4 linked regions of the Stegostoma tigrinum genome follow. The protein of the gene in region 2 purifies or fractionates together with the protein of the main gene of each other region. This does not show direct contact. Links are inferred from orthologs where the notes say so. Each region holds a gene or a part of one and is shown on either strand. Other genes may lie near its edges.

Region 1 (7,135 bases), on a different chromosome or scaffold from region 2:
GAGACCGGCAAGGCGGCCACGGCCCCGGCCCCGGGACGGCGGGGCGGGAGAAGGGCAAGGCGGCCACGGCCCCGGGACGGCGGGGCGGGAGACGGGCAAGGCGGCCACGGCCCCGGGACGGCGGGGCGGGAGAAGGGCAAGGCGGCCACGGCCCCGGGACGGCGGGGCGGGAGAAGGGCAAGGGGGCCACGGCCCCGGCCCCGGGACGGCGGGGCGGGAGAAGGGCAAGGCGGCCCCGGCCCCGGGACGGCGGGGCGGGAGACCGGCAAGGCGGCCCCGGCCCCGGGACGGCGGGGCGGGAGACCGGCAAGGCGGCCCCGGCCCCGGGACGGCGGAGCGGGAGAAGGGCAAGGCGGCCCCGGGACGGCGGGGCGGGAGACCGGCAAGGCGGCCACGGCCCCGGGACGGCGGGGCGGGAGACCGGCAAGGCGGCCACGGCCCCGGGACGGCGGGGCGGGAGACCGGCAAGGCGGCCACGGCCCCGGGACGGCGGGGCGGGAGACCGGCAAGGCGGCCACGGCCCCGGGACGGCGGGGCGGGAGACGGGCAAGGCGGCCACGGCCCCGGGACGGCGGGGCGGGAGACGGGCAAGGCGGCCACGGCCCCGGGACGGCGGGGCGGGAGAAGGGCAAGGCGGCCACGGCCCCGGCCCCGGGACGGCGGGGCGGGAGATGGGCAAGGCGGCCACGGCCCCGGCCCCGGGACGGCGGGGCAGGAGACGGGCAAGGCGGCCACGGCCCCGGGACGGCGGGGCGGGAGACCGGCAAGGCGGCCACGGCCCCGGGACGGCGGGGCGGGAGACGGGCAAGGCGGCCACGGCCCCGGGACGGCGGGGCGGGAGACGGGCAAGGCGGCCACGGCCCCGGGACGGCGGGGCGGGAGAAGGGCAAGGCGGCCACGGCCCCGGGACGGCGGGGCGGGAGAAGGGCAAGGGGGCCACGGCCCCGGCCCCGGGACGGCGGGGCGGGAGAAGGGCAAGGCGGCCCCGGCCCCGGGACGGCGGGGCGGGAGACCGGCAAGGCGGCCCCGGCCCCGGGACGGCGGGGCGGGAGACCGGCAAGGCGGCCCCGGCCCCGGGACGGCGGAGCGGGAGAAGGGCAAGGCGGCCCCGGGACGGCGGGGCGGGAGACCGGCAAGGCGGCCACGGCCCCGGGACGGCGGGGCGGGAGACCGGCAAGGCGGCCACGGCCCCGGGACGGCGGGGCGGGAGACGGGCAAGGCGGCCACGGCCCCGGGACGGCGGGGCGGGAGACGGGCAAGGCGGCCACGGCCCCGGGACGGCGGGGCGGGAGACGGGCAAGGCGGCCACGGCCCCGGGACGGCGGGGCGGGAGAAGGGCAAGGCGGCCACGGCCCCGGCCCCGGGACGGCGGGGCGGGAGACCGGCAAGGCGGCCACGGCCCCGGGACGGCGGGGCGGGAGACCGGCAAGGCGGCCACGGCCCCGGGACGGCGGGGCGGGAGACCGGCAAGGCGGCCACTGCCCCGGGACGGCGGGGCGGGAGAACGGCAAGGCGGCCACGGTCCCGGGACGGCGGGGCGGGAGACCGGCAAGGCGGCCACGGCCCCGGGACGGCGGGGCGGGAGACCGGCAAGGCGGCCACGGCCCCGGGACGGCGGGGCGGGAGACGGGCAAGGCGGCCACGGCCCCGGGACGGCGGGGCGGGAGACGGGCAAGGCGGCCACGGCCCCGGGACGGCGGGGCGGGAGACGGGCAAGGCGGCCACGGCCCCGGGACGGCGGGGCGGGAGACGGGCAAGGCGGTCCCGGGACGGCCGGGTGGGTGAAGGGCAAGGCCGTCCCGGGACCGCCGGGTGGGTGAAGGGCAAGGCCGTCCCGGGACGGCCGGGTGGGAGAAGGGCAAGGCCGTCCCGGGACGGCCGGGTGGGAGAAGGGCAAGGCCGTCCCGGGACGGCGGGGCGGGAGACGGGCAAGGCGGCCACGGCCCCGGGACGGCGGGGCGGGAGAAGGGCAAGGCGGTCCCGGGACGGCCGGGTGGGAGAAGGGCAGGGCGGTCCCGGGACGGCGGGGTGGGAGAAGGGCAAGGCGGTCCCGGGACGGCAGGGTGGGAGAAGGGCAAGGCGGGTCCCGGGACGGCGGGGTGGGAGAAGGGCAAGGCGGGTCCCGGTCCCGGGATGGCGGGGTGGGTGAAGGGGATGGGGAAGGCGGTCCCGGGATGGCGGGGTGGGAGATGGGCATGGCGGGGTGGGAGATGGGCAAGGCGGTCCCGGTCCCGGGATGGCGGGGTGGGTGAAGGGGATGGGGAAGGCGGTCCCGGGATGGCGGGGTGGGAGATGGGCAAGGCGGGGTTGGGAGAAGGGCAAGGCGGTCCCGGTCCCGGGGTGGAGGGGTGGGAGAAGGGCAAGGCGGTCCCGGGGTGGGAGAAGGGCAATGGCGGTCCCGGGGTGGGAGAAGGGCAATGGCGGTCCCGGGGTGGGAGAAGGGCAATGGCGGTCCCGGGGTGGGAGAAGGGCAAGGCGGTTGTTTGGGGGGGGGGGTGTGGGGAAGAAGAAGAGAAAGGTAGTCGGGGCGGGAGAAGAGAAGGGAGGTGGGGTGCGCCGGGTGAGTCGAGGAAGGGAGGTGGGGTGCGCGGGGTGAGTAGAGGAAGGGAGGTGGGGTGCGCGGGGTGAGTAGAGGAAGGGTGGAGTGCACAGCGGGAGAGACGGTTACTCAGGCCGGGGCTGTACTCCCTGCGGCACTACGAACTGTCCCCGGGTCAGGCCCCCCTCCCTTAAGTCTCTCATTATCGCTACTTACGCGGCCGGCGATGGGACCGCGTGGACATCTTCAGCCGCATCGTAAAACTCTTCAGCGTCACTGGTATCGGACGCCATTGACATGAGACAGGGCAATTTTACCCTCCCGGTCCAGCCCGGAGCTGCTAGCCGTTGACTGAAGACAGTGGGACGGAAACCCGCGTCGGAGACAGGCGAGGCCCAGAGCATGCGCACTGCCCACTCTCCCCTGTCCCCAGCACACGCAGCACTCACAGCCGTGGCAAGGAAGAACACGCGCAGAACCGGCTGTCGGAGACGGGCATGCGCTTTGCTCTCTAGCCGTGAGTTGGATCGGAGGTGCTGAGCAGCCTTCAGTCCGGTTGTGTGAGAGGGTGCTGTTGTCCGGGTTAGGGGAGCTTTGTGGCTGGTGGCTTCTTGACTCGGCTGGGCTCTACGAATGGACCTTGCTTCTTTAAAAAAAAGCACTCAAACAGTTAGAGATAGTAGGACCTGCCGATGCTGGAGAGTCTGAGATAACAAGGTGTCGAGCTGGAGGAACGCAGTAGGCCCAGCTTTCCTGCTCCGCTGATGTTGCGTGGCACGCTGTGTTCCTCCAGCTCTACACCTTCACGCAAATGGTTAGTTTCCACTCGCTTCCCTATTTCAATCAAAATGTGAAGATGCTGTTGTTGGACTGGGGTGGACGTTGTCAAAAATCAAACCTCCCCAGGTTATAGTCCAACAGGTTTGTTTGAATCTGTGATAATGGGAACTGCAGATGCTGGAGAATCCAAGATGATAAAATGTGAGGCTGGATGAACACAGCAGCATCTCAGGAGCACAAAAGCTGACGGTCTGATGAAGGGTCTAGGCCCGAAACGTCAGCTTTTGTGCTCCTGAGATGCTGCTGGGCCTGCTGTGTTCATCCAGCCTCATTTTATTATCTTGGTTTGTTTGAATCTGTCTTTTAAATGGGATTTTTTAAAACCTCACACCTAAAATGTAATGTCTGACCTGAGATGTCACCACTTGTATACATTAATAAAACCTTTAGTTATCTCAGGACAATGACTTGAAAGGAATCTGGATTTTACATTTTAATCTGTAGTCTTCTTCCTAACTGATTAAAGATTCACCAAGAGGCAGCCACTTTTAGGCTTGTTTCCTTTCTGCTCATAAATTCCATGTCTTATACCCTCTTTCACACACTATGCCTGAGGAAGGGATCATCATAGAACCCCTACAGGTGGGGAACCATTTCCACTCCCCCTCCCATTCTCTAGATGACATGTCCATCATGGGCCTCCTGCACTGCCACAATGATGCCACCCGAAGGTTGCAGGAACAGCAACCCATATTCCGCCTGGGAACCCTGCAGCCTAATGGTATCAATGTGGACTTCACCAGTTTCAAAATCTCCCCTTCCCCTACTGCATCCCTAAACCAGCCCAGTTCGTCCCCTCCCCCCACTGCACCACACAACCAGCCCAGCTCTTCCCCCCCACCCACTGCATCCCAAAACCAGTCCAACCTGTCTCTGCCTCCCTAAACGGTTCTTCCTCTCACCCATCCCTTCCTCCCACCCCAAGCCGCACCCCCATCTACCTATTAACCTCATCCCACCTCCTTGACCTGACTGTCTTCCCTGGACTGACCTATCCCCTCCCTATACCTATACTCTCTCCACCTATCTTCTTTACTCTCCATCTTCGGTCCGCCTCCCCCTCTCTCCCTGAATATTTTCTGCCTTTGTTTTGTGTATCTAACACTTAACAAGTTTTGTTTTCATAAGTTGTGTATTCCTGTGAGAACTTGTTGAACCACATAGCATAGATAGCTATTTCGACCATCATGCTGGCTTTTGGGAGTAACCAAGTAATCCCCCTCACCTGCTCTTTCCCGAAAGCACTGCAAATGTTTCCCTTAGAAGCAGATACCCAATTCCCTTTTGTAAGCAATGATTGAATCTACCTTCAAAACCTTTTCAGGCAGTGTATTATGTTAACAATAAGGTAATTGTAACGTTAATGATTTTCTGTAACTTTTTTGGATTTTGTAAGTTCAATTGGGCTATATATTGGTTTTAGCTCATAAAAGCTGTTTTATCACCTAATAATGGTGTTAATTCTGGAACAAACTTCAACATGTACCAGAACTATAGAGCGCAATTAAACATACAGTGATTTAAGTCAATATTTACATTCAATGTTGCAGTGACTGTGTTCTACCATTTCAGCACAGTTTTTTTGTTATTGCTACTCCAAACAATATACTTTGTCTGAAAAATAATGCCTCTTTTAAAATTAAATTTCATCACATGAAGAATGCTTTTCGCACGGGCAAACATATACGATCATAAGATGGCACAGAGCTATTTTGTGGTGCAACACTAGCAACAATGAGATGACACAGGATTTGTGGCACTTTCTTAATGAAGGGTGATGGCACAAGATAGTCCATTGAATAAAATTGTTGGCTGCTGCTGATTCCCTCTGTATTCAGAAGCATTATGTAACATAAATATTTGCCTGTTAACTGAGCAGGTAACGAGTAGCTAAATAATCTGATGCTTCACAAAAGATTGCACCCATGATTCCAGAGAGAATGGGCCAGAAATCTCAGCTGAGTTATCAAATGAAGCAGTGTGTAGCCCAACTGCATTTCTGCACCACAACATTTACAAATAACAGGACAGAACCATCACAGCACTTACAATGTTGGCAAACTCCTTCATCCTATGATCCATTTTACTGACTGCAACTTACAAACCTGCAAGCTGTTGCAGTGCTTCTCTACCACAAGAAACCATTGAGGCCACAACATTGAAGACCTTCAAGAAAGACATGGATATAGTTCCTAGAAGACATCGAAGGATATAGGGAGAAAGTAGGAACAGGGTACTCAGCTGAATGATCAACCATAATTGTATTGAATGGTGGAGCAGGCAGTAAGAGCCAAATGGTCTACAGCTCCCAGTCTGCACCTCCCAGTTGTGAACCATTTCAACTCCCCCTCCCATTCCTTAGACAACATGTCCATCATGGGCCTCCTGCAGTGCCACAATGATGCCACCCGTAGGTTGCAGGAACAGCAACTCAGGTTCTGCTTGGGAACCCTGCAGCCCAATGGTATCAATATGGACTTCACCAGCTTCAAAATCTTCCCTCCCACCACTGCATCCCAAAACCAGCCCAGCTCATCCCTGCCTGCCTAACCTGTTCTTCCTCTCACCTATCCCCTCCTCCCACCTCAAGCCACACCTCCATTTCCTACCTACTAACCTCATCCCACCCCCTTGACCTATCTGTCCTCCCCAGACTGACCTATCCTCTCCCTACCTCTCCACCTATCTCCTCTATCCATCTTCGGTCCGCCTCCCCCTCTCTCCCTATTTATTTCAGAACCCTCTCCCCATCCTGCTCACTGATGAAGGTCCAGGCCCAAACCATCAGCTTTTGTGGTCCTAAGATGCTGCTTGGCCTGCTGTGTTAATCCAGCTCCACACTTTGTTATCTCGAATTCTCCAGCATCTGCAGTTCCCATTATCTCTGGTCTACTTCTGCTCCTGTTTTCTGTGTTTGATAAAGTCACTAATATCCAAGTCCATGGGCCCATCTTCTGGCTGGGGCTGAGCAGGTGCCTGGTCTCCAGTAGTCTTTTCAGTGTCAGAAAGCCTAACTATTGCTTCTTTGATCAGATGCGGAGGTACATCAATGATGTGCTCACCATATTGTGCTCCTGGGACTAATCCAGACAGGAAAGTACATGTCCCTTACCTGATGGAGGGTTCAGGTGAAAGCCTTACTGGTACCTCCTCTGAGAGTTGGCAGACTTAACTCCTGGCTCTCCAGCAGGTGCATTTCTCTCTTCCGCACCACATTGAAACTTCCAAAGACAACTCCACCCATCTGAATTCAGAACTGACTTTCATTAGCAAGACCCACCTTGGCAACTCGTTGCTCCCTCAATCTCCAAATACCTTATCAATTCTCTCTCCATCATTTCAAAAAGAACACCAACCCTCACAAAGATCCTGCTTGGTGAACATCAGACAATTCTCTCTTCCCTTGGACTCAGCTGCTTTGCTTCTCCTGCTCTGCCATGTCTTTCCGTCAGTCTAAAATAGCAGAAGTCGCAAGTATGAAGACTACCATTTGATATATCAAGAGATTTCTGTTTGAGTTTCTTTCCCCATAGCAACCAGATCACATTGGCCTGTCTCTAATTGCCAGTGTTCAGTGTCATCTCATATCCAAGTCCAGAATTAGCAGGAGCTGCAGATGCTGGAGAATCTGAGATAACAAGTGTAGAGCTGGATGAACACAGCAGGCCAAGCAGCATCAGCAGAGCAGGAAGGCTGACATTTCTGAAGAAGGGCCTAGGCCCGAAACATCACCCTTCCTGCTCCTCTGATGTTGCT
Region 2 (6,831 bases):
AATCCAAGCCAGTAGCTCACCTCGAACACCATGGGCCTTCACCTTGCTCAGCAGCCTCCCATGAGGCACCATATCAAAGGCCTTTTGCAAGTCCAGATAGATTTGACTGATGATACGTGCAAATGCTCTAGCCTGGTCTAATGCAATGATATCCTAGGTCCCACCATCAATGAGGATGGGGATACTTGTGGCATCTCCTACAACTCAGCATGGTCAAACTGCCACACAGATAGTGGAACAGATATTCAAAAAGGGCAGGACTCCATCTCCCCACAGTCTGTGTCATTCCTCTCAATGCTGTCAGAGAGGAATGCATCCGTGACAGATAGATTGGTGCGAACGAGGTCTTCCTTGTCCCTCTTGTTGGTTCCCTTGTTTGCTGTCACAGGCTCAACACAGCATTTATGACCTTGGGAGCTCAGTCAGTAGTGGAGCTACAAAGCTACAATTGCTCATTGAATTTTCTCACAGAGAACAAATCGTGCCCTTCCTATTCTCAACATTACTCCCAGACAGTATTCAACAATGAAGTACATAGATTTTTCAGTGGAGGGAGGACAGGAGGTGGTAATCCAGCATTGCCTGAGCTGAACCTGATGCCATCAGAGTTCACTGTTGCGAGAGTCAAAAATCAAGGACTTCCTGCAGTAGACTTTTTAACTTTCTGAGTTTGAGCTGTGGTGAGATTTGAAGTCGCATCTGTAAATCATTCATCCAGCAGCATTATCACAACATTAACATCCCTTCAGAGAGGTTATGATCAAAAACAGCAAGGTGGAATTCAAAGGAATTTCCAGACCCGAGTAAGAGGCTTCAAAGCCATTGGTGAATAGGAGGTGTGAAAGGTACCATGTGGCTTATCACGTTCCAGAGTCTAAGGTCAAATAAAAGTTGAAAACCCAGATTTTTGACAAGGGATGGTGGAGAGTGGTGAGTGGTAAAAACTGCTTGATTTCACTCAGCATAGCAACTGCAATTTAAATTCCTTCATTGAAAACTACTTTCTCCGCATAATTTAGTTAAATCAGAAATAAAATACCTAAACAATGGCAGGCTGAAGAAAGCTTCAACATGTCACACAAACTCCAGAAAACAAATGCCATAATCTCACCCTGAAGAGGATAAAACATTTCAGTCATTCCAGTTCTTAATAGAAGATTTCAAAAGACAAATGTAAATCTGTCAAGTCCATTTTAGTCTTTACTGATACTGACTTTTCCTCCTTATTCAAAATTTGACAAACTGAGCAATTTATTTATGACAAAACATTATGTTAATTTTCAGCAACAATACATTTGAGCGAAAATTAGCAGCATTTTTTAAAAAGGTCAAACTTAAATGTCATCTGGAATCAGCAATTAAGACAAGAGCATAAATTACTTACTCGATCTGTTCTTTGGAATGAAGCCTAGCCAAAGAAAGTGCAAGATCATGTCATACTAATGATCTTAAGAAACATAATCCACTTGGTGCCAAAGGGCAGAGATTGCAGCTCAGTCATGTCTCCAACAGCCTCGTTGGCACTTTGGGTGGAGCTAGTTAGTTCTATGGTAAAGTGTCAAAGAGACTAGCAATGCAACATCACATTAAGGTAAGCATACAGGTCAAGACATACTGAGGCTCTTCTCAAACAGCCATGACCCAAATATAGCATCAGGACTTGAAAATAAGTTTGAGAGAAACTGTTCTTATTCCCAGCACTGCAAAATCTCCAGACTCGAACACAAGTATCTAGTTATCCCAAACTTAATTTTGGTATTTAAGCCTGAAGCTTTTTTCTGTTTGAACACATTTCTTAGAACGTAAAAAAATTACGAAATAGAAATACTTAAAACCACCGTATGAACTGTCTGCTATTTCTGCCATAATTATTCAGCTAACTATATCTATAAAAACACACACGAAGGCTATCCCATTACACAGGGTAAGGATTCGATGTATCAATACACTGTTAGAAGTCTAGCTCCTAATTAAAATATTAAAAATTACTGAACCATTCAGTAATTTTTTTTAAGTGCTATCTGCTCCTTGTCATCTTTCTATGTTCCTAAGAGGCACTTCAGCAGACTGTTTTCCACTATTACAAATGGCAATTCTAAATATTTTGAAGTAAGGTTGAATATCTGTGCACAGAGACGTTGCTGAAAATAGACCACGGCTGCTAAACGCGTGAAGGATGCAATCTGGATGAAAAAAAATCTCCAGCCTCCGAATCCCATGTGCTCTGGGGCGAGCACAGCATTCGGCACCTTTCCCCTACTCAAAAGAGCTGGTTTCCGATTTCAGCCAGCAATAATAAAATAATTTTTAAAAAGACCAGGTAACGTGGGGCCCACTCTGCATAAACTGACTCATTCCACCTTCCCCCGGCAACACCCGGCCTCGGAGCAAAGCTGACATCCGCGAGAAAAAGAATGAACCGAACCGAGACGATCCTCGCGGAAAATCGCGGCACACTCAGTTCACACCGAACCCAGCCGCGGCAGACGCCGCCGCCGCCACCACCATCACGACGAAGCCGAGGATCCAGGCGCGGCCTAGTCCGCGCTACCAAAATGGCGGCTGCAGCGAGCGAACTGCCGGGGGATTCGAGTGGAGCCGGCCGGGGCCTCCCAATACCCCGGAGCTTGGTTGGTTGGGGGGCGGCGGGGGGAACAAGGATGAGGATAGGTGCTGAAGGACCAGCTCCCAGCCACCCACCCGGGACAAGGCAAACTACGGCGGCGGGCCACAGCCGCAGTAGCGAAGGATGCGAAGAAAACGGAAGAAGTGTGAATGTGTGAGACGAGCGGCACCCGGTCCGTGTAATGCAGAGTAACAATAACACATAAATAAATATGTCGGTGCGAGCGTCAGTCACCTTTGAATTTGAGCTCGACGGGCGGATCGAGGATCAGTACTTGCTCCAATCTGGCCATTGTCGTGGGGGGGGGGGGGCAGGGCTGATACTCAGAGCCTTTGCTGCCTGATGGCGCTTATCCGATCCTCTCCGGGATGAGGGGGAGGGGGGGGGGAGGGTAAAAGGGGCTGATTTTTTTTTCTCTCTTTCCCTCCGCCTGACTCGAGCTCTGCAGGACGCCGACGTGCGCGCACCCAATCAGCGCACGCCAAAATGCGTGCGCGTCCTCAGGCGCCGCCCCGGGGATTTGCTCGCCGGCCACGAGCGTGCGCAGTACGGCTTACCCCGTGACGTGCGGATGGGCTGACCGCGATGATGTGGCGCACTGGCAGAGGTCCCGCCTCTCGTCCGTGAGACGGAGGCTCAAGTGCCAAGTGCTCCTGAGCGCTGTAATACCAGAGGTAGTAGGAGCTGCTGATAACAAGGTGTAGAGCTGGATAAACACAACAGGCCAAGCAGTATCAGAGATAATAAAGTGTGAAGCTGGATGAACACAGCAGGCCATGCAGCATCTCAGGAGCACAGTGCTGAGCACAATCCTGAAATGCTGCTTGGCCTGCTGTGTTCATCCAGCTTCACACTTTATTATCTGGGATTCTCCAGCATCTGCAGTTCCCATTATCTCTGAAACAGTATCAGAGGAGCGGGAAAGCTGATGTTTCGAGTCCAGACCCTTCATCAGGAAAAACTATTATTAAAATATAAGTTGTGAATTAATCCTTTGCTGCAGTGTTGTGGAGGGGGGAGCGTAGATTGCTGTCTCTGGTTCTTCGATAACTCATGGTGCCAAGGGCTAATATCCTAGTGTGCCCAAAAACCAAGAGTTAGGCCTGTAATACAGGGGAAATCATTGAGTATATCCAGTTTGCACTGACAAAAAACCTTCTGTGGTAATCTCACTTTCTGGCAACTGCCCGTAGTTTTGAACGTTATGGCATTTCAGGTGCTCTTCCGCATTTAAAATAGATCATGAGGTTACTTTTCCTGGGAATGCATTCCAGATTCCCACTACTCTCTGAGTGAAAACAAAAAATCATTAAATCCCCTCTAATTTTCTCATCCTTCACCTTAAAATTGTACTTCCTCATTATTGAGCCTTTGTGAATGGTTTTTTCTCATTGGGCAAGATGTCACAAGTGGAATGCCTCCACCCCTCTTCCCCCAGATCAATGTTGCAGGGTCCTGCAGGTGGCTGAGGAAATAGCGGAGGCTTTGGTCGTGATCTTTCAAAAGTCACTGGAGTCAGGGAAATTGCTCCTGCTTGGCCTGCTGTGTTCATCCAGCCTCATATTTTATTATCTTGGAATTCTCCAGCATCTGCAGTTCCCATTATCTCGGAGTCAGGGAAAGTCCCAGATGATTGGAAAATTGCTGTTTTAACTCCCTTGTTTAAGAAAGGATCAAGGCAAAAGATGGAAAATTATAGGCCGATTAGCCTAACCTCGGTAGTTGGTAAAATTCTAGAATGCATTGTCAAGGACGAGATTTCTAAATTCCTGGAAGTGCAGGGTCAGATTAAAACAAGTCAGCATGGTTTTAGTAAGGGGAGGTTGTGCCTGACAAACCTGTTAGAATTCTTTGAGGAGGTAACAAGTATGTTAGACCAGGTAGATGTTATCTATCTAGGCTTCCAAAAGGCCTTTGCTACAGTGCCTCACGGGAGGCTGCTGAGCAAGGTGAGAGCCCATGGTGTTCGAGGTGAGCTACTGGCTTGATTGAGGATTGGCTGTCTGACAGAAGGCAGAGAGTTGGGATAAAAGGCTCTTTCTCAGAATGGCAACTGGTGACGAGTGGTGTCCCGCAGGGTTCAGTGTTGGGGCCACAGCTGTTCACCTCTGGCGAAGTTTGCCGATGATACGAAGATAGGTGGACAAGCAGGTAGTACTGAGGAGGTGGGGAAGCTGCAGAAAGATTTAGACAGTTTAGGAGAGTGGTCCAGGAAATGGCTGATGAAATTCAATGTGAGTAAATGTGAGGTTTTGCACTTAGGAAAAAAGAATACAGGCATGGACTATTTTCTAAACGGTGAGAAAATTCGTAAAGCAGAAGTGCAAAGGGATCTGGGAGTGTTGGTCCAGGATTCTGTAAAGGTTAACTTGCAGGTAGAGTCCATAATTAAGAAAGCGAATGTAATGTTGTCATTTATCTCAAGAGGGTTGGGATATAAAAGCAGCAAAGTGCTTCTGAGGCTTTATAAAGCTCTAGTTAGGCCCCATTTAGAATACTGTGTCCAATTTGGGCCCCACACCTCAGGAAGGACATACTAGTACTGGAGCGTGTCCAGCGGAGATTCACACGGATGATCCCTGGAATGGTAGGTTTAGCGTATGATGAACGGCTAAGGATCCTGGGATTGTACTCATGAGAGTTTAGAAGGTTGAGGGGAGATCTAATAGAAACTTACAAGATAATGTATGGTTTAGAAGGGGTGGACGCTGGGAAGTTGTTTCCGTTAGGCGGGGAGACTAGGACCCGTGGGCACAGCCTTAAAATTAGAGAGGTTAAATTTAAAACTGAAATGAGACGACATTTGTTCAGCCAGAGAGTGGTGGGCTTGTGGAATTCATTGCCATGGAGTGCAGTGGAGGCCGGGACGTCGGATGCCTTCAAGGCAGAGATCGACAAATTCTTGATCTCAAAAGGAATCAAGGGCTACTGGGAGAGTGCAGGGAAGTGGTGTTGAAATGCCCATCAGCCATGATTTAAATGGCAGAGTGGACTTGATGGGCCGAATGGCCTTACTTCCACTCCTGTGTCTTGTGGTCTAATGGTCTTATGGCCCTGCTTCTACTTATGGTCTCTGTCAGTGACTCGGCTGAAGGGGCCAAATGCATTGCTAAATCTTGCTTAATACACAAAGACAGGTAGGCTCTGCCAAAGTCTGCAATGGAATTTAGGTAAGTTAGCAGAACAGGAAAATGGAGTATAATGTGAGAAAGTGAACTTGTCCCCTTTGGCAGGAAAAGCAGTGTATTATTTCATGGAGAGAGATTGAAAAATCCTTAAGGTGCAAAGGGACCTAGGTGTCCTAGCATTTGATTTTTTTGCAAGGAGAATAGAATGTGAAAGTGGGATGTTTTGCTTTAGTTGAAAAAACCATTGGTGAGACCGTATCCGCAGTACAGTTTTGGGCTCCTTATTTAGGAATAGACATAGCTGCATTAGAAACTAGAAGGCATAGATGCACAAAAGACTGAGGAAAATCTTTTCACACAGTGAATAGTTGAGATATAGAATGCACTGCCTGGAAATATGATTGAGGCAAGTTCAGTTGAGATATTCAAGGATATTTGATCATTATTAAGATAGAAATAGTGTGCAAGGGAATGAGAAGAAAACAGGAGATTTCCACTAGGTAATGAAGATGTTTGAATTTGAAGAGCATATGCAGCTTCAATGGGTCAAATGACCTCCATCTGTGTCATAACAATTCTGTGATAAGAACAGTTAAAGGAGGGTTAACATTGTATCAGAAAAGGGTCTGGGCCCGAAATGGCAGCTTTCCTGCTCCTAAGATGCTGCTTGGACTGCTGCGTTAATCCAATTCTACGCCTTGTTATCTCAGTTTAAGGAGAATTCCTGGAATGAGGGTGTTACTGGAAAAGCTGAAGAAACAACACCTTATTTTCTGCCTGGGGACCTGACAGCCCTCCGGATTCAATATCGAGTTCAATAATTTTAAGGCCTGAACTCTCCCATGTCCTGGCCCGAATCGCACACACCAGGCATTGATTATAGGAATAGGGACGTTACGTTACAGTTGTATAAGTCGTTGGTGAGGCTGCGCTTGGAGTATTGTGTACAGTTTTGGTCACCCTGTTATAGGAAAGACATAGTTAGACATGAAAATGTGCAAAGAAGATTTACGAGGATGTTGCCAGGACTAGTAAACCTGAGTACCTGAGCTATAGGAGAGGTTGGCCAGGATAGAA
Region 3 (7,905 bases), on a different chromosome or scaffold from region 2:
AACAAATAACAATTTATTTATTTAACTATCACAGAGAACACATTAACATATTAACAGAACTACTAACAAACCAAACAATTCACCATTGACTCCCAACCTCCTATGCTCCAATGAACCTCCTCTGGATCCCCTCCAAGGCTAAAGCATCCTTTCTTAGATACATAAGAGGCTACTGAATGAAGATTCTGAATCAAACATTATCACAGATAAATCACTATCTGATTTTATTTCAAAATTATGAAAAGTTGGGGAGAAATTAGTTCTGCAAAACTAAAAGTGAATGGAGCTGGGATCATCATCTCTTTAGGAAATTGTTAGGGGGAAATGATGGCTCAGCGGTACTGTCACTGGACTAATACTGGGAGAATGGAAGAGAATGGAAAAGCACAACATCTTTAAAGCTGAGAAACAAGATAATGTCAATATGTGGAAAGATTGTGTGAGAATACACACAGATCACATGGAAAAGTTAATCTGCAGACACTGTGAACAAATGGAAGGAGAATAAGAAGAGGAACATTTAAAAAATAGGAACAGAGGTAGAGTTTGCAGCCCTTTGACCTGCTGTACCATTCCTTACATTTGATCATCCAAATCATTTGCTAGTTCCCATTATTCGTTCATATCCCTCGATTGCTTTAGGTCCCAGTGCTGCATTCAACTCCTTAAAATGTTTGGCCTTGACTGTTTTCTGTGCTAGTGAATTTCACAGGCTTACCACTTTTTGCTGAAAAGATTTCTCGTCACTTCAGTCCTAAAATGGCCTACCCCATGCCCTTAGGCTCTGATTCCTGGTTCTGGATTCACCAGTTATTGGGAGCATCTTTCTGGCATCGTCCAAATCATACTGAGCATTTTGCGTCCTCATCACAGTTTATCCTCCGACATGGCTTCGTGTCACAGTATCTTGGCCTTTGTTACCCAGGCAGATGGAGTATAAAAGTAAGCACGTTTTATACAATTACATGGGGTTTTGAAAAGACCACACCTGAAGGTCTGTTCACAGTTTTGATCTCCACAGAATTTACTTATTTTAGAGGGATCTTGTGGTGCAGTGGCACTGTCTCTACCTCTGGGCAAAACATTCCTGGTTCAAGTCCCATCTACTTCAGAGGTCTGTCATAACATGTCCAAACAAGTTGATTAAACATATCTATGTAATATGAGACTTAATAAAGGTTCACTTGATTGAACCTTCAGTTAGAGAGAAATAGAAGAGCACCATGTAGAAGCAGGTGTAGACCATTTTGATCTTCGAGCTTCTCTATCATTTGACGAGATCATGGCTAATAGTCTAACTCAGTACCCTGTTGCTGCTTTCTCTTCACACTCTTCAATCTTTTTAGCCCCAAGAATTATATCTCCTTCTTGAAAATATACTATGTTTTGACTTCAAACACTTTCTGTGGAAGAGAATTCCACAAGTTCACCCACTCTCTGGGCGAATAAATTTCTAATCTCACTTCTAAATAGCTATCACATACCTTAAACTGTGATTAAATAGTAGGGACTGCCGATGCTGGAGAATCTGAGATAACACGGTGTGAAGCTGAAAATGGGAAGGGTCCCGACCTGAAACGTCAAACTTTCTTGATCCTCTGATGCTGCTTGGCCTGCTGTGTTTATCCAGCTTCACGCCATGTTATCCCTTAAACTGTGATACCTGGTTCTGGACTCCTTGATCATCAAGAACATTCTTCCTCTGTTTACCCTGTCTAGCCCTGTCAGAATTTGATACCTTTAAACTTGCTATGAATTCCTTCAAAACTTGATGGGACAAATGCTGAAAGTCTGCCTCCATGAATAGAGTATCTAGAGTTAAGGATCACAGTTTCAGGATAAAGTTGAGCCATTTAAGACCAGGCTGAGGAGATATTTCTGAATAAAAGAGGGGTTGAATCTTTGGAATGCTCTAATCTGAAAGACGATGGATGCTTACATTATGACTGTGTTCAAGACAGATTCAATACAATGTGGAGTCAGGCAGCATCAGAGAAGCAGGCGATAATGTTTCAGGTCAAGTCCCATCTTCAGGCTTGGAAAGGGGCAGGGAGCTTGGAAATAAATAGAGGGAGGAGGGGAAGATAGGTGGGATGGCGACAAGTAGATGCAGGTAAGGGGTGGTGGGGAAGATGGACTGGTTGCATCAGGTCAAGGAGGTGGGGATAGAAAGCGAGTTGGACCTGCGAATGAAGCCGACAGCAGGGAGATATTGAAACAGGCGAAGTGACACAACCCACGCCCTCCACCTCCTCCAGGACTTCCAATTCCCTGGCCCCCAACACCTCATCTTCACCATGGACGTCCAGTCCCTATATACCTGCATTCCGCATGCAGATGGCCTCAAGGCCCTCCGCTTCTTCCTGTCCCGCAGGCCCGACCAGTCCCCCTCCACCAACACCCTCATCCGCCTAGCCGAACTCGTCCTGACCCTCAACAACTTCTCTTTTGACTCCTCCCACTTCCTACAGACTAAGGGGGTGGCCATGGGCACCCGCATGGGCCCCAGCTATGCCTGCCTCTTTGTAGGTTACGTGGAACAGTCCCTCTTCCGCACCTACACAGGCCCCAAACCCCACCTCTTCCTCCGGTACATTGATGACTGTCTCGGCGCCACCTCTTGCTCCCCAGAGGAGCTCGAACAGTTCATCCACTTTACCAACACCTTCCACCCCAACCTTCAGTTCACCTGGGCCATCTCCAGCACATCCCTCACCTTCCTGGACCTCTCAGTCTCCATCTCAGGCAACCAGCTTGTAACTGATGTCCATTTCAAGCCCACCGACTCCCACAGCTACCTAGAATACACCTCCTCCCACCCAGCCTCCTGCAAAAATTCCATTCCCTATTCCCAATTCCTCCGCCTCCGCCGCATCTGCTCCCACAATAAGACATTCCACTCCCGCACATCCCAGATGTCCAAGTTCTTCAAGGACCGCAACTTTCCCCCCACAGTGATCGAGAACGCCTTTGACTGCGTCTCCCGCATTTCCCGCAACACATCCCTCACACCCCGTCCCTGCCACAACCGCCCAAAGAGGATCCCCCTCGTTCTCACACACCACCCCACCAACCTCCGGATACAACGCATCATCCTCCGACACTTCCGCCATCCACAATCCGACCCCACCACCCAAGACATTTTTCCATCCCCACCCCTGTCTGCTTTCCGGAGAGACCACTCTCTCCGTGACTCCCTTGTTCGCTCCACACTGCCCTCCAACCCCACCACACCCGGCACCTTCCCCTGCAACCACAGGAAATGCTACACTTGCCCCCACACCTCCTCCCTCACCCCTATCCCAGGCCCCAAGATGACTTTCCACATTAAGCAGAGGTTCACCTGCACATCTGCCAATGTGGTATACTGCATCCACTGTACCCGGTGTGGCTTCCTCTACATTGGGGAAACCAAGCGGAGGCTTGGAGACTGCTTTGCAGAACACCTCCGCTCAGTTTGCAACAAACAACTGCACCTCCCAGTCGCAAACCATTTCCACTCCCCCTCCCATTCTTTAGATGACATGTCCATCATGGGCCTCCTGCAGTGCCACAATGATGCCACCCGTAGGTTGCAGGAACAGCAACTCATATTCCGTCTGGGAACCCTGCAGCCTAATGGTATCAATGTGGACTTCACCAGTTTCAAAATCTCCCCTTCCCCAACTGCATCCCTCAACCAGCCCAGTTCGTCCCCTCCCCCCACTGCACCACACAACCAGCCCAGCTCTTCCCCCCCACCCACTGCATCCCAAAACCAGTCCAACCTGTCTCTGCCTCCCTAACCTGTTCTTCCTCTCACCCACCCCTTCCTCCCACCCCAAGCCGCACCTACTAACCTCATCCCACCTCCTTGACCTGTCCGTCTTCCCTGGACTGACCTATCCGCTCCCTACCTCCCCACCTATACTCTCCTCTCCACCTATCTTCTTTTCTCTCCATCTTCGGTCCGCCTCCCCCTCTCTCCCTATTTATTCCAGAACCCTCACCCCCTCCCCCTCTCTGATGAAGGGTCTAGGCCTGAAACATCAGCTTTTGTGCTCCTGATGCTGCTTGGCCTGCTGTGTTCATCCAGCCTCACATTTTATTATCTTGGATTCTCCAGCATCTGCAGTTCCCTTATCTCTGAAGTTATTTCCCAGCTCCCTTCCCTCTCCTCAGTCTTGAAGAGTCCCAATCTGACACTTTAACTTTTCTGTTCCCCCTATGTTCAAGACAGAGATCTTGAAGACTCTAGAGTACTACGTAAATCAAGAAAATGATTAACATTTGATGGGGACATTCCGCCAATACTTATTGAATATGGAAGCAAATATGATGGCCAAGTGGTTCGCTCTTGCTTTATGTTCTCAAAATGTTCTTAATGTTCAGAAATAATACTCGAGATTACATTCAAGCACGTCTTTATTCATTTGCAGGATGTGGGCATCATGCTAAGCTGACCATCTCCAATCTCTTGAGAAGCTGGTTAGTGGGCCACTTTCTCGAATCACAATTTACAAGGATTACCACAAATCCTCGCGTTTTGCTCCACTTATCGGAATACCGACTAGAAATTGTAAATTGAGAATATTTGGTTGGTTGGATACGACAAACGAAACCGCAATTTTATGGGAGCGAACTACTTCCTTCTGTACATGTTTCAGAAAAGTTTTACATCCGACAAGCAGGAAAATTGACTATTCGCGTCGAGATCTTTCTTCGCGGTGGAGGGAGGGGTGGGAGAGAAAAGATTTTTTTTAAGTGTCGTTATTTATGGGGACATCAACAGCGCCGAAGTGGTAAAGTTAGTTCACCATTTGGTCTTTTGTAAAGAGGTATAGTCAGTTTTACAGGGGACTGCGCCGCTCGTGCGTGGACGTCCAGGCGCACGTTCCCGCTTTACGTAACCGTGCGCGAGCTCCAGCCGAGGGAAGGAAAGTACAAGCTCACCGAGACGAGAGACGGAGTCAGTGTCTCCAGGAATTCCGGACTCCAGTACGGAAAGGGAAGGGCTGCTGTGGACTGTTATGGGGATAGGATCACGAGGAAGCCAAGGCCATACAGCGCCCTCCGGCCATTGTGACAGGGTAGTAGAGAGCTGTACCCTTGTCAGGACCCACAGTATGCGTGCGTGACACGGAGACCCTCCTGACTTGACCTGACTGGAAAGGGAGAGAGTGCCAGGCGAGACGTCTCCTGGACGCGTATGCGCCACCGAGACGGGGCACCACGTCACTGCCAGCGAGAAGTCAGCAGATTTGATGAAGGAGGGACTCGTAGCGACTACCTGACAGAAAGTGGGAGGGGAGGAGGGGCAGCTGTGGGGAGGGGAACTAGTCCGCTGGTTTAACTCACTGACAGCGGCGGGGACAGCAGCAGTGGAGTATTTCTCTCGGTCGCCCTACGCCTTCGGACGGTGTGGCTCGATCACCGGACGTTTGTTAATCGGAGCGTTCCATCGAACGTGCGCGACCCATCCCGCCCCCCTCTCCACTGCCCGGCGCCGCGAACTGGCTGCACGTCCTGGCCGCCGCGGTGCGAACTCTGTTCGCCTGTCACACTTTTTATTTTCGCGCTGTTGTTGTTTATAAACCCATCCCGTCCCCTTCCTTTTACTCTTTCCTCCGAAAAGAAAACGACAGCCAGCTTTTGTCGCGGTCGATGTTTAACACTGAGAAAGTGGCTCCTGGCGGCGCTGCTGCTGCAGCTGCTGGTGGTGGCGGTGGTGGGAGAAGGTTCTCTGGTTCTACGGGGGAAAGGGGGTCGTTGGCGCTGAAAGCAAACACCCAGGATAGGGCAAAGACCAACTGCAGCAGCCCGACCTCAGCAGCTGCAGCCGCGGATTCGTTGCGGGTAGTCCGCGAGGACCAGCAGAACCACCACCACCGTCATCCGGAAGCTGGCAAGGTTGTGGAGGGTTTACTCAGCAAGTACACCAATCTGATCCAGGGCTGGCAGCACAGGTACGAAATTAGGGAGAATGTGTATACGACTTCGTTTGGGAAATACGTTGGTAGCAATCTGCGCTTGTCGTTAATTGTATGAAATACACTCTCAACTTGAGTAATTCACCCATTATGTCTCGACATAGTGGCGAATGCGGTATAAAGGGAGATTGCAAGAACTGCCGATGCTGGATTGACAGTGTTCCGAAATTTTAACGTTCCTGCATGTTGTAATATGAGCTAAAATAGATTGATCTTCACAGAGCTAGTTGGACAAATGATTGAACTCGTGCCTCAAATAGGTATGTTTTTAAATAATACATCAAGCCCAAATGACCTTTTGGTTGAGGTAATCATTTAGTACGCTCTCTAATGGGTGCAGTGTGCTGATTAAAACCACTTTCCTGGTTACTACAAATATAATGAGATCCAAAATTGACAGCTCAAATCTCCTCATCGGCTTGTACTCATGAGGCATTATTTGAGTAGAAAAAATGGAAAAACTATAGTGAATTGCATGGAGATGATGTACTGTGAATTTCTGAGTTTGAATGTAGTAATCTGAAGTCTGTATGAATTTAATATATCAAATAGTTTAATGAGTAACCTTTCCACCTTCATTTCGTTATGCCTTCTGTGATCACTACGCATTGACGTGGGGTTTATTCTCTGCTTCGTACAGTGTTCCAGCAATGCTCAATATATAATGGAACTGAAATTTAATTTTAAATTCACTGTTTTACGAAGGCAGGTAATGACTTTAAGGCTGTGTTTCCAGGCTTTTGAGTACTGATCGTAAACAATCTGAACTTTGCTTATGCTTGTCAAACAACTTTACACCAGCCAACAGCCATGGAACATAGAACAGTACAGCACAGTACAGGCCCTTCGGCCCACTAAGTTGTGCAGAACTTTTACCCTAATTCTAAATTCTATCATTCATATGCCTAGCTAATAGCTGCTTAAATGGCCCTAATGAGGCTGACTGCACTACCCTCTCCAGCAATGCATTCCACGTCCCGACCACTGTCTGAGCAAAGAATCTACCTCTGACGTCTCCCCTATATCTACCTCCACTCATTTTAAAACTATGCCCCCTTGTAATAGCTACCTCTACCCTGGGGAAAAAGTCTCTGGCTGACGACGCAATCTGTACAGTAATGCCCAGGAGGAACTTGTTACCTTTACCTAGGCTAGCCAAATGAGATTCCAGGTACACACAGTTTTAACTGCATTCTGAAGTGTCCCAGCAAGTCTGCCACTGTTTCAAGAAGTTGCATCACCAGCATTTGTCAAGGCCAGTTAGGAATAATCAATAAATGCTGTCTTTGCCAACGACATCCCAATTCCTTTCATGAATAAATGTTTAAAAACCTTTAGGTGGAAGAGAGAGACAGCAGATCATATGGCACATCATCTACTCAGCAACACCAAATAAGCCAAGAAAAATAACACTTCTTTCTCAAATGTAGAAAATGCCATTTCTAAGGGGAACAAGGAATTTATTGTGGCAGCTGTCTGTCCAAATGCACACTTAAAGTGGTCAGTGTCGATTCAACCTCCTGGCTGGGCAGAAACTTTCTTGTCCCTACCATGAAGGTTACCCTGTGCACCAACCTCACTTATTTTTAGATGAGTTAAAACCACAAGCATCACAACAACTTATGATACCATGCCAGCAACTCTCAACAGCCATCAGGAGCACCAGCTGACAGGAGGAAAATGAGGGAAGAACAGCAAGAGTTCATGGAAGCGAGAACACAAAAAAAGGAGATACCTCAAATACTATAACACTGCTGTCATAATTTGCCAATCCATTCTTACTGTGAATGAGCTTTTTTTACCAAGCTCAGACAGTAAGAAAAAAAAAACTTGCACTGAATGTAGATAGAAATTTCTATCCCTGTCACTCTAGCTGCTTGCTTGGGCCCCTGAAGTTTGAAACATTGCTGGCTCCTTGGATGTTGAGTACACTTTA
Region 4 (7,853 bases), on a different chromosome or scaffold from region 2:
TGTAGAAATTAATCAAGATGACTAATGGAATGCTGGACTTTTTATTTAGAGAGCTGGAGAATAAGGAAGCAGAACTTATGCTGTAGCTATTAAAAATCTGGTCAGATCCCACTGTGAACAGAATGTGGGAACTTCACCTAGAAAAGGATATATTGGCCCTGGAGGCAGAGAGATTAGGAAGAACTTATACACATAAAGGATGGTAGAGATTTGGAACTCGCTTTGACAAATTGATAGCAGACTGGCAGTTGATAGTAGAACAGTTGTCAGTTTTAAATCTAAGATAATTTTTATTTGTTAACCAAAGATACTGAAAGACATGGACCAAAGGCAGGTAATATAGAGTTAGGCCACAGGTCAGACATGATCTGATTGAATGGAAGAACTAACGAAAGGGGCTGAATGGCCTATTCCTGTTCTTATGAGTGGCCCTATCACAATTAAACAGCTCGTGATGGTATCATTCAAGAGGTCATTGGAGTGCAGAATCCTCTCAAGTCGAGAGGGAAATTCACACAGAAATGTGAACAAATGAAACTGCGTGTGGAGCACGACAAAGCATTTGCTTGTAGAAACACAGTAAATCTGCAAGTTAATCAATTAAGGCATTATTGCATTCCCCTGTAACTCAGAGTGTTACCGGACTATTAGTAACATCTGATGGGAAAAATCATGTAAATAAAAACCAAACGGTCTTAAAATTACATAGACAATTTCTTCACTCTTTTTATCAATTATAAGAAATCCTTCTATGAGATGCATGCAGGATGATGGAGTATATGAGGCTCATAATGCCGAGTTGTGGGCAAGTAGTTAAGGCAATGGATTTGAAATTCATTGAGGACAAGCCTATGTTTATTTGAAACCTGCCGATTATGGTTCAGAATAATAAAATGTGAGGCTGGATGAACACAGCAGGCCAAGCAGCATCTCAGGAGCACAAAAGCTGACGTTTCGGGCCTAGACCCTTCATCAGAGAGGGGGATGGGGTGAGGGTTCTGGAATAAATAGGGAGAGAGGGGGAGGCGGACCGAAGATGGTGAGAAAAGAAGATAGGTGGAGAGAGTATAGGTGGGGAGGTAGGGAGGGGATAGGTCAGTCCAGGGAAGACGGACAGGTCAAGGAGGTGGGATGAGGTTAGTAGGTAGATGGGGGTGCGGCTTGGGGTGGGAGGAAGGGATGGGTGAGAGGAAGAACAGGTTAGGGAGGCAGAGACACGTTGGACTGGTTTTGGGATGCAGTGGGTGGAGGGGAAGAGCTGGGCTGGTTGTGTGGTGCAGTGGGGGGAGGGGACGAACTGGGCTGGTTTAGGGATGCGGTGGGGGAAGGGGAGATTTTGAAACTGGTGAAGTCCACATTGATACCATTGGGCTGCAGGGTTCCCAGGCGGAATATGAGTTGCTGTTCCTGCAACCTTCGGGTGGCATCATTGTGGCACTGCAGGAAGCCCATGATGGACATGTCATCTAAAGAATGGGAGGGGGAGTGGAAATGGTTTGCGACTGGGAGGTGCAGTTGTTTGTTGCGAACTGAGCGGAGGTGTTCTGCAAAGCGGTCCCCAAGCCTCCGCTTGGTTTCCCCAATGTAGAGGAAGCCACACTGGGTACAATGGATGCAGTATACCACATTGGCAGATGTGCAGGTGAACCTCTGCTTAACGTGGAATGTCATCTTGGAGCCTGGGATAGGGGTGAGGGAGGAGGTGTGGGGGCAAGTGTAGCATTTCCTGCGGTTGCAGGGGAAGGTCCCCTAACCTGTTCTTCCTCTCACCCATCCCTTCCTCCCACCCCAAGCCGCACCCCCATCTACCTACTAACCTCATCCCACCTCCTTGACCTGTCCGTTTTCCCTGGACTGACCTATCCCCTCCCTACCTCCCCACCTATACTCTCTCCACCTATCTTCTTTTCTCTCCATCTTCGATTTGCCTCCCCCCCTCTCCCTATTTATTCCAGAACCCTCACCCCATCCCCCTCTCTGATGAAGGGTCTAGGCCCGAAACGTCAGCTTTTGTCCTCCTGAGATGCTGCTTGGCCTGCTGTGTTCATCCAGCCTCACATTTTATTATCTTGGATTCTCCAGCATCTGCAGTTCCCATTATCTCTGATTATGGTTCAGAAGACTGCTTTAAAACAAATGCGTGCCAGTTTAATTACTGGGGCTCTTGTGGCAGAAGAGGCCTAGTTTCAAGTTACAACTGCTTCAAATGTGTGTCAAAACATATCTTATCAGATTGATTAGAAATATTTATATGAAGCTTATAGAAGAGATTAGTGTACAAAGGAGGTTGACATCCCATCAAGTTATGCTTGCCACTTGCATGTAACTTTTCTGAAATAGCCGCTGCCGATCTAAAGGTTTAGGAAAATGAAAGGAAAACTTCAGCACTACGCTTTATAGACATGGAAACTAGATTTAAACTTTCTACATTTACACCTGTCAAGAACAACAGGATGTTTAGAGACAGTCACATAGAAATGGCAAGCCTGCAGACATGGGCAATGACTAATTTCCAGATTGATAATGAAAAGGAATCTGCTAATGACCAGTTGATAGATTTGTGTGAAAACATGAACACCACAGTCATGAATATTGTTGCTGAAGTTCTTTTTTAAATAGTGAAAGGAATCACGTAGTGATTGATGAAATACTGCAGAGGGTCTGACCAGAGCAAGCAAGCAGAAAGTTGACAAATGCATTGGCATGAGCTGCTCATGCAGAGAATTTGCCTTGAATGTTTTGTTTTATTCATTCATTGTTAGTCTTGCATTTGTTGTCCATCTCAAATTGTTAACAGTTCCTTGTCAGCCACATTACAGTGGGTCTGGAGTCACAAATAGGCCAGACCAGGTAAGGATGACAGATTTCATGCCCTAAACAATATTAGTAAACCAGCTGGATTGCTATGACAGTCAACATTAGTCACACAGCCACCATCAACTGATTTACAATTTCATATTTTTATTAAAACCAAATTCTACCATGATGGTATTTGAAACCATTTGCCCAGAAAATTAGCTGGGAGTTCTGGATTAAACTCCAATGACATAACCACTGTGTGAGCACCTTCCCAAGGCCAACATTTGTTGCCTATCCGATTGCCACTTGAACAAATTTGCTGGGCAGAATATAGATGGGTTTTTATGACAATTGATTATAGTTTCACTGAAAATCTATGTTTCAATTCCAGATTTATTTGTTTAATTAGTTTAAATTCCACTGGCCATCACAGCAGGATAATGGATGTGAGTTTGCTCGCTGAGCTGGAAGGTTAGTTTTCAGATGTTTCATCACCATTCTAGGTAACATCATCAGTGAGCCTCCGAAGAAGTGCTGGTGTTATGTCCCGCTTTCTATTTATCTTATCATTATTAGATTATCAGGATCATCTGGAGTCCATCACCCTGGACTTCTGGATTGCTAGTTCAGCGACATCATCACTATGTTATTTATTACTACTTCCCCCTCAGTGAAACTTCATGGACTGACAAAAAGGGGTAAAAGAATGGAAACTAAGGATGTGCAATGTGAGTTCTCATAATGGATCCAAGACTGCACTTACATTGGAGAACAATCATGTACTTCATAGAGAGTCTCTGACCTTGACTGAAATTCTGCCTGACCTTATGAGGAATGAGTGCATTCAGATCCTGCCTGGCAAGCCTTGCACCTATTCATCACCAGGGAAGCTCATTTGGTTGGATAGCTGGTTTGCAATACACAGTAAAGTCAATAGTGTAGGTTCACTTCCAACACTGGCTGAGGTTACCGTGAAGGTCTCTCCTTCTCAATTTCACCCTTTACCTGAGATATGGTGTGACCCTTAGGTTGAACCAGTCATCTCTCACTAATGACAGAGCAGCCTTATGATCTGGTAGGATTATGGTACCTTTGCTTAACAAACAGAAATTGCTGGAGAAACTCAGTAGGTGTGGCAGCATCTGTGGAAGCTACTTCTAAAACAAGAAAGTTAGATTTAAAGTGATGTGCAAATGAAGCAAGAGTGATGTGGGGTAAAACAAAAGTTACACTGTGAGTTTACTGGGAAATGTGGTGGAGGCAGGTTCAAATGAGGCCTTGAAGAGGACATCCGACGATTATCTCGATATAAATGGCGTGTCGGGATATAGGGAAAAGGCAGGAGATTGGCACCAGCTAATAAAAAAGGTGCAGGCTAACTCTTGTCGCTCTATCCTACACTTCCAGCCCACTCCTTTAAACAACATGAAGATAATGATTTCAACTATAATTTTAATTACGTGTGTTCCTGTGCTACCTAATATTACGAAATAGTGTAATCCAGGGGCGATCTACAATGTGCCTTTTGGATGCTCACGATGCAGTCCTTTAAAAAGCAAGAAGACAATTTCTCCAGGTCCCTTATGTGCGTTTCAGCTGTTTTCCTTTCGCCAAAAAAGCAACATATCTCATTCAGCTTACTTAGATTCCGACCAGTGAATTTCCCACACAAATATTACCGTATTATTTGAAAATTCATCGTATGATTTAAAAAACAGCCATAAACACCTTCACGAATTATTTGTTTCAATACCTCAACGCAGTTTTATCTCATTTGGGACCGTTCAAATCAACTGCCCTCGTCACTCGCTGATCAAAATTAAAACTGTCAATAAGTATTTCTTGTTTTTTAATACCCTCTCCGAAGACCAGGATTCCGGTAGAGTGTTATATTTAAAAATAACTTAAGCTTGCCGCTATGAAAAAAAACTCCTCTTTACTTCACTGAATCCAACTGTGGTTCTGCTGACACCGACGAGCACCCGCAGCTGCGGAAGCAAGCAAAAGGCGGCGGTCAGAATTGAGCGCGCTCAACGTGAGCGTGCATTCTTTTTCCGATGAGTTCGGAGAGTTGTCGTTGGAGTAGTGAGGGCGTCACTCTGAAAGAGAACGAGGCATCGCTGCTCGCGCTAGTTCCGGTTCGCTGCAAGATCGTTTTCTTTTGAATCCTTTGGTTTGGTTGTGGCGCTTGGCGTTCGTGCTGGTTAGCAGCAGCAGCGGAAGCGGAGGCGGCCCAGTCGGGCCGAGAATGGTGCTCGGAAGACGATGGTGTTCGAGTCTTTAGTGGTCGAGGTTTTGAACCGTTTTTTGGGGGATTATGTGGTGAACTTGGACACCTCGCAGTTGCAATTAGGAATTTGGGGAGGTAAAGTTTTTAATTTGCGCGTTCGCCTCATATGCTGGATCTATATATAATGTCTGGGTATTTGACAAGTACCTGCGTGAGTAGCCATCACAGGGTGTGGAACCCAGCTCCCTGGAGAAGAGTGATCCGCGCACCAGGATCCTGCTGTAAAATGCACCATGGCAATTTTCTTATCATTTTTTGAAGAAATGATTGATTTGAGTAGTTCGCAATCAAATAAATAAATATCATTGTTTTGCGTATTGTTTGGCGAAATATTTCATGTTGCAAAGCAGCAAGTAGCTTTTTGTGCAAATGTTTCTTCAGTGTTGCATGAATTTATATTCCGATCTTTTCAAATTTTAGTGACTGTACATATGTATATACTAGATAGATGCTGCTCGCTGTGTTTATATTTAATTTGATACAGAACTAGCACTTATACGTAACGAATACTTTAAACATGTCGCCATGGATTATACAGCTTGCTATCTTTTCATTTCTTCTTTCTGTGCTTCTCCAGTACATACAACTGGTATTACCTCAGTTGCAATCATGTAGACACACGTCTTTCTGTGAATGTTGAAAACACAAGTACACATTAAACCTTCTCTGGTACTTGTCAAGCAGCAGCGAATTTGAAGAATGGCGTATAACTCGGGAGTTGTAAATTCCGAAAGACAGGATTAATAGGTTTAGACAACCTGAAAAAACGGGATTTTCTTTTTCCTTCCAATGCTTTATTTTCAATTTTTCTTTCAAAAAATTATGGTGTCACTGCTGACATGATTTTTGATGTTTTGCGACAAGGATTTGCTTTAATTAGCCTGATGTCCGGTGGACCAGTGTAACGTGACAAAGCTGCTGTTATGTGCTCTTATGTTTTAGCATATGTTTTACAGCAAGTACGTTGGAACAATTTATTTGCTATGAAATGTTATGGCAAAATATTTGATAATTAGTATTACTTCTGCAACCTTAAATTGTATAGTAAAGATAGCTGCAAGCACAAAGTGTTATGTTATGGTTCATGCATTTAAATTTACACAATTGAAAGCAGTTTACAGAAGGTTTGCTATGCTGATTCCAGCATGAACCTCCTGCATGAATCGGTTGTTTTATGTGGAAGTGTTTTGTAACTTGGCCCTATACTCATTGCTGTTGCGAACAATTCTATATTCTGTTTCAACAGAATATTCTGAGGGGCTTGGCAAATCAAATCCTAGAATCCTGACAGCCTCAGGTCGATCTCAAGGATATTTTCTTTTTGCTTAGGAATTTTGTACTCGATGTTATTGAAAAGAACAATCTTCCTGTTAAATCAGAGATAGTAAGAACTGTAGATGCTAGAGTCAGAGATAAGTGTGGAGCTGGAGGAACACAGCAGGCTGGGCAGCATTAGGAATTCTGAGAAAGGGCCTTGACCTGAAACGTCAACTTTCCTGCTCCTCTGCTGTCTGGCCTGCTGTGTTCCCCCAGTTCCACATTAGATTGTCCCCTTTTAAAACAGTGTGATCCTCAGATCAGAGATTATACACAATCAGTGAACCTGCTCCCTCAAAGAGCACTGGGGATTGTGCAAGAACTAACATTTCTTTGTGAAATGACATCTTGCATGGTTGTATTAAATGGTTGAGCAGGGCCAATGCGTCAAGTGGTCTTGCTGCTCCTACCTCTGTTATGATCTCATTGTAGGGCTTCCCAAGGTAGGGATCAGGACCCCAAGCAGGGTCGGGAGCCGTGAGGAAGCAATGGCCACTGTGGAGCCCTGCCCTCGTGACCTTCTGCACAGTGGCTCACATCTTCTGCACTGTGTTCTCCATGTTCACTGAGGGGGTCATGACAATTAAGCATTAAAATGGGGTCATAGTCGGTAAAATGTTAGAGAAGCTTTGTCTTCTAGATTGAAGTTGATATATCTGACAGTTCAAAGCACCTGTGGAGGAAGAGCTGACGATGTGTGAAGATAACTCATTGAAAGCAGAAAGGGGCATAACTTGTCAAACTTATGTTCGGTATAGCCAATAATCATATTTGAAATTTGAACACTTACAACATGGTCAAGCAATAATCGAACTGGTTATTCTCTATTTATAGAATTATATTGTCTCATTAGGATATCCAGTCATATCTTGAAACCTGGTACAGCCCTGCAGAATGTAGGCATTAACTTGGATTGAGGCAATGCTGATTTATAATTATTTTCAAAAAACTTTTAAAGTTTCAGAATGGATAAGAGTGTACAGGCATAAAGCAGTAAGATCAAACTTTTTTTTCCTTTTTTGATCTTTAGATGCTGAGCTACTTGTTACATCCATTTGAAATACTGTTTTGAAACTTCTCACCATTAAATTAGAAATTATTCATGCACTGTTGTTATTCAGAATACAGTCCTACATTTGTTACTCCCTGACCATTATTTTACTGGTTCCAATAACCCATATAAAATAAATTGCTAATGTTCCCATTAAGTAGTGGTTAGAGGAATGTTTGAGGGTTAGTTTTAGATTAGCATATTGGTCTATGACTACTGTGGTGAAAAATGACCACTCTTGAGTCTGATGCGAAATAAAAGCAGAATGACAGCACCTGCAGTTCTATCAGGAACAAAAACAGAAGTTGCTGGAAAGACTCAGCAGGTCTGGCAGCATCTGTGAAGAAACAAATCAGTTAATGTCTCGGGTTTCGTGACCCTTCCTCCAGAATTGTT

The links.
Region 1: the proteins of vapal (region 2) and wdr44 purify together in Homo sapiens (affinity purification with mass spectrometry; 3 studies listed by BioGRID and IntAct, counting the BioPlex papers as one, with this or other methods). This does not show direct contact. The link is inferred for Stegostoma tigrinum from reciprocal best matches to the Homo sapiens genes VAPA and WDR44.
Region 3: the proteins of vapal (region 2) and oxysterol-binding protein-related protein 10 purify together in Homo sapiens (co-immunoprecipitation; 4 studies listed by BioGRID and IntAct, counting the BioPlex papers as one, with this or other methods). This does not show direct contact. The link is inferred for Stegostoma tigrinum from reciprocal best matches to the Homo sapiens genes VAPA and OSBPL10.
Region 4: the proteins of vapal (region 2) and vps13a purify together in Homo sapiens (co-immunoprecipitation; 3 studies listed by BioGRID and IntAct, counting the BioPlex papers as one, with this or other methods). This does not show direct contact. The link is inferred for Stegostoma tigrinum from reciprocal best matches to the Homo sapiens genes VAPA and VPS13A.

The regions. Positions count from the first base shown.
Region 1 is NC_081368.1:69,285,361-69,292,495, reverse strand, and holds the start of wdr44 (WD repeat-containing protein 44), read right to left. Parts: upstream 3,001-7,135; 5' UTR 2,944-3,000; coding exon 2,756-2,943; intron 1-2,755. UniProt on the Homo sapiens protein: Downstream effector for Rab11 which regulates Rab11 intracellular membrane trafficking functions such as endocytic recycling, intracellular ciliogenesis and protein export.
Region 2 is NC_081358.1:115,000,426-115,007,256, reverse strand, and holds the start of vapal (VAMP (vesicle-associated membrane protein)-associated protein A, like), read right to left. Parts: upstream 3,020-6,831; 5' UTR 2,919-3,019; coding exon 2,861-2,918; intron 1-2,860. UniProt on the Homo sapiens protein: Endoplasmic reticulum (ER)-anchored protein that mediates the formation of contact sites between the ER and endosomes via interaction with FFAT motif-containing proteins such as STARD3 or WDR44.
Region 3 is NC_081355.1:27,335,479-27,343,383, reverse strand, and holds the start of oxysterol-binding protein-related protein 10, read left to right. Parts: upstream 1-4,900; 5' UTR 4,901-5,643; coding exon 5,644-5,945; intron 5,946-7,905. UniProt on the Homo sapiens protein: Probable lipid transporter involved in lipid countertransport between the endoplasmic reticulum and the plasma membrane.
Region 4 is NC_081356.1:64,816,818-64,824,670, reverse strand, and holds the start of vps13a (vacuolar protein sorting-associated protein 13A), read left to right. Parts: upstream 1-4,853; 5' UTR 4,854-5,064; coding exon 5,065-5,164; intron 5,165-7,853. UniProt on the Homo sapiens protein: Mediates the transfer of lipids between membranes at organelle contact sites. Binds phospholipids. Required for the formation or stabilization of ER-mitochondria contact sites which enable transfer of lipids between the ER and mitochondria.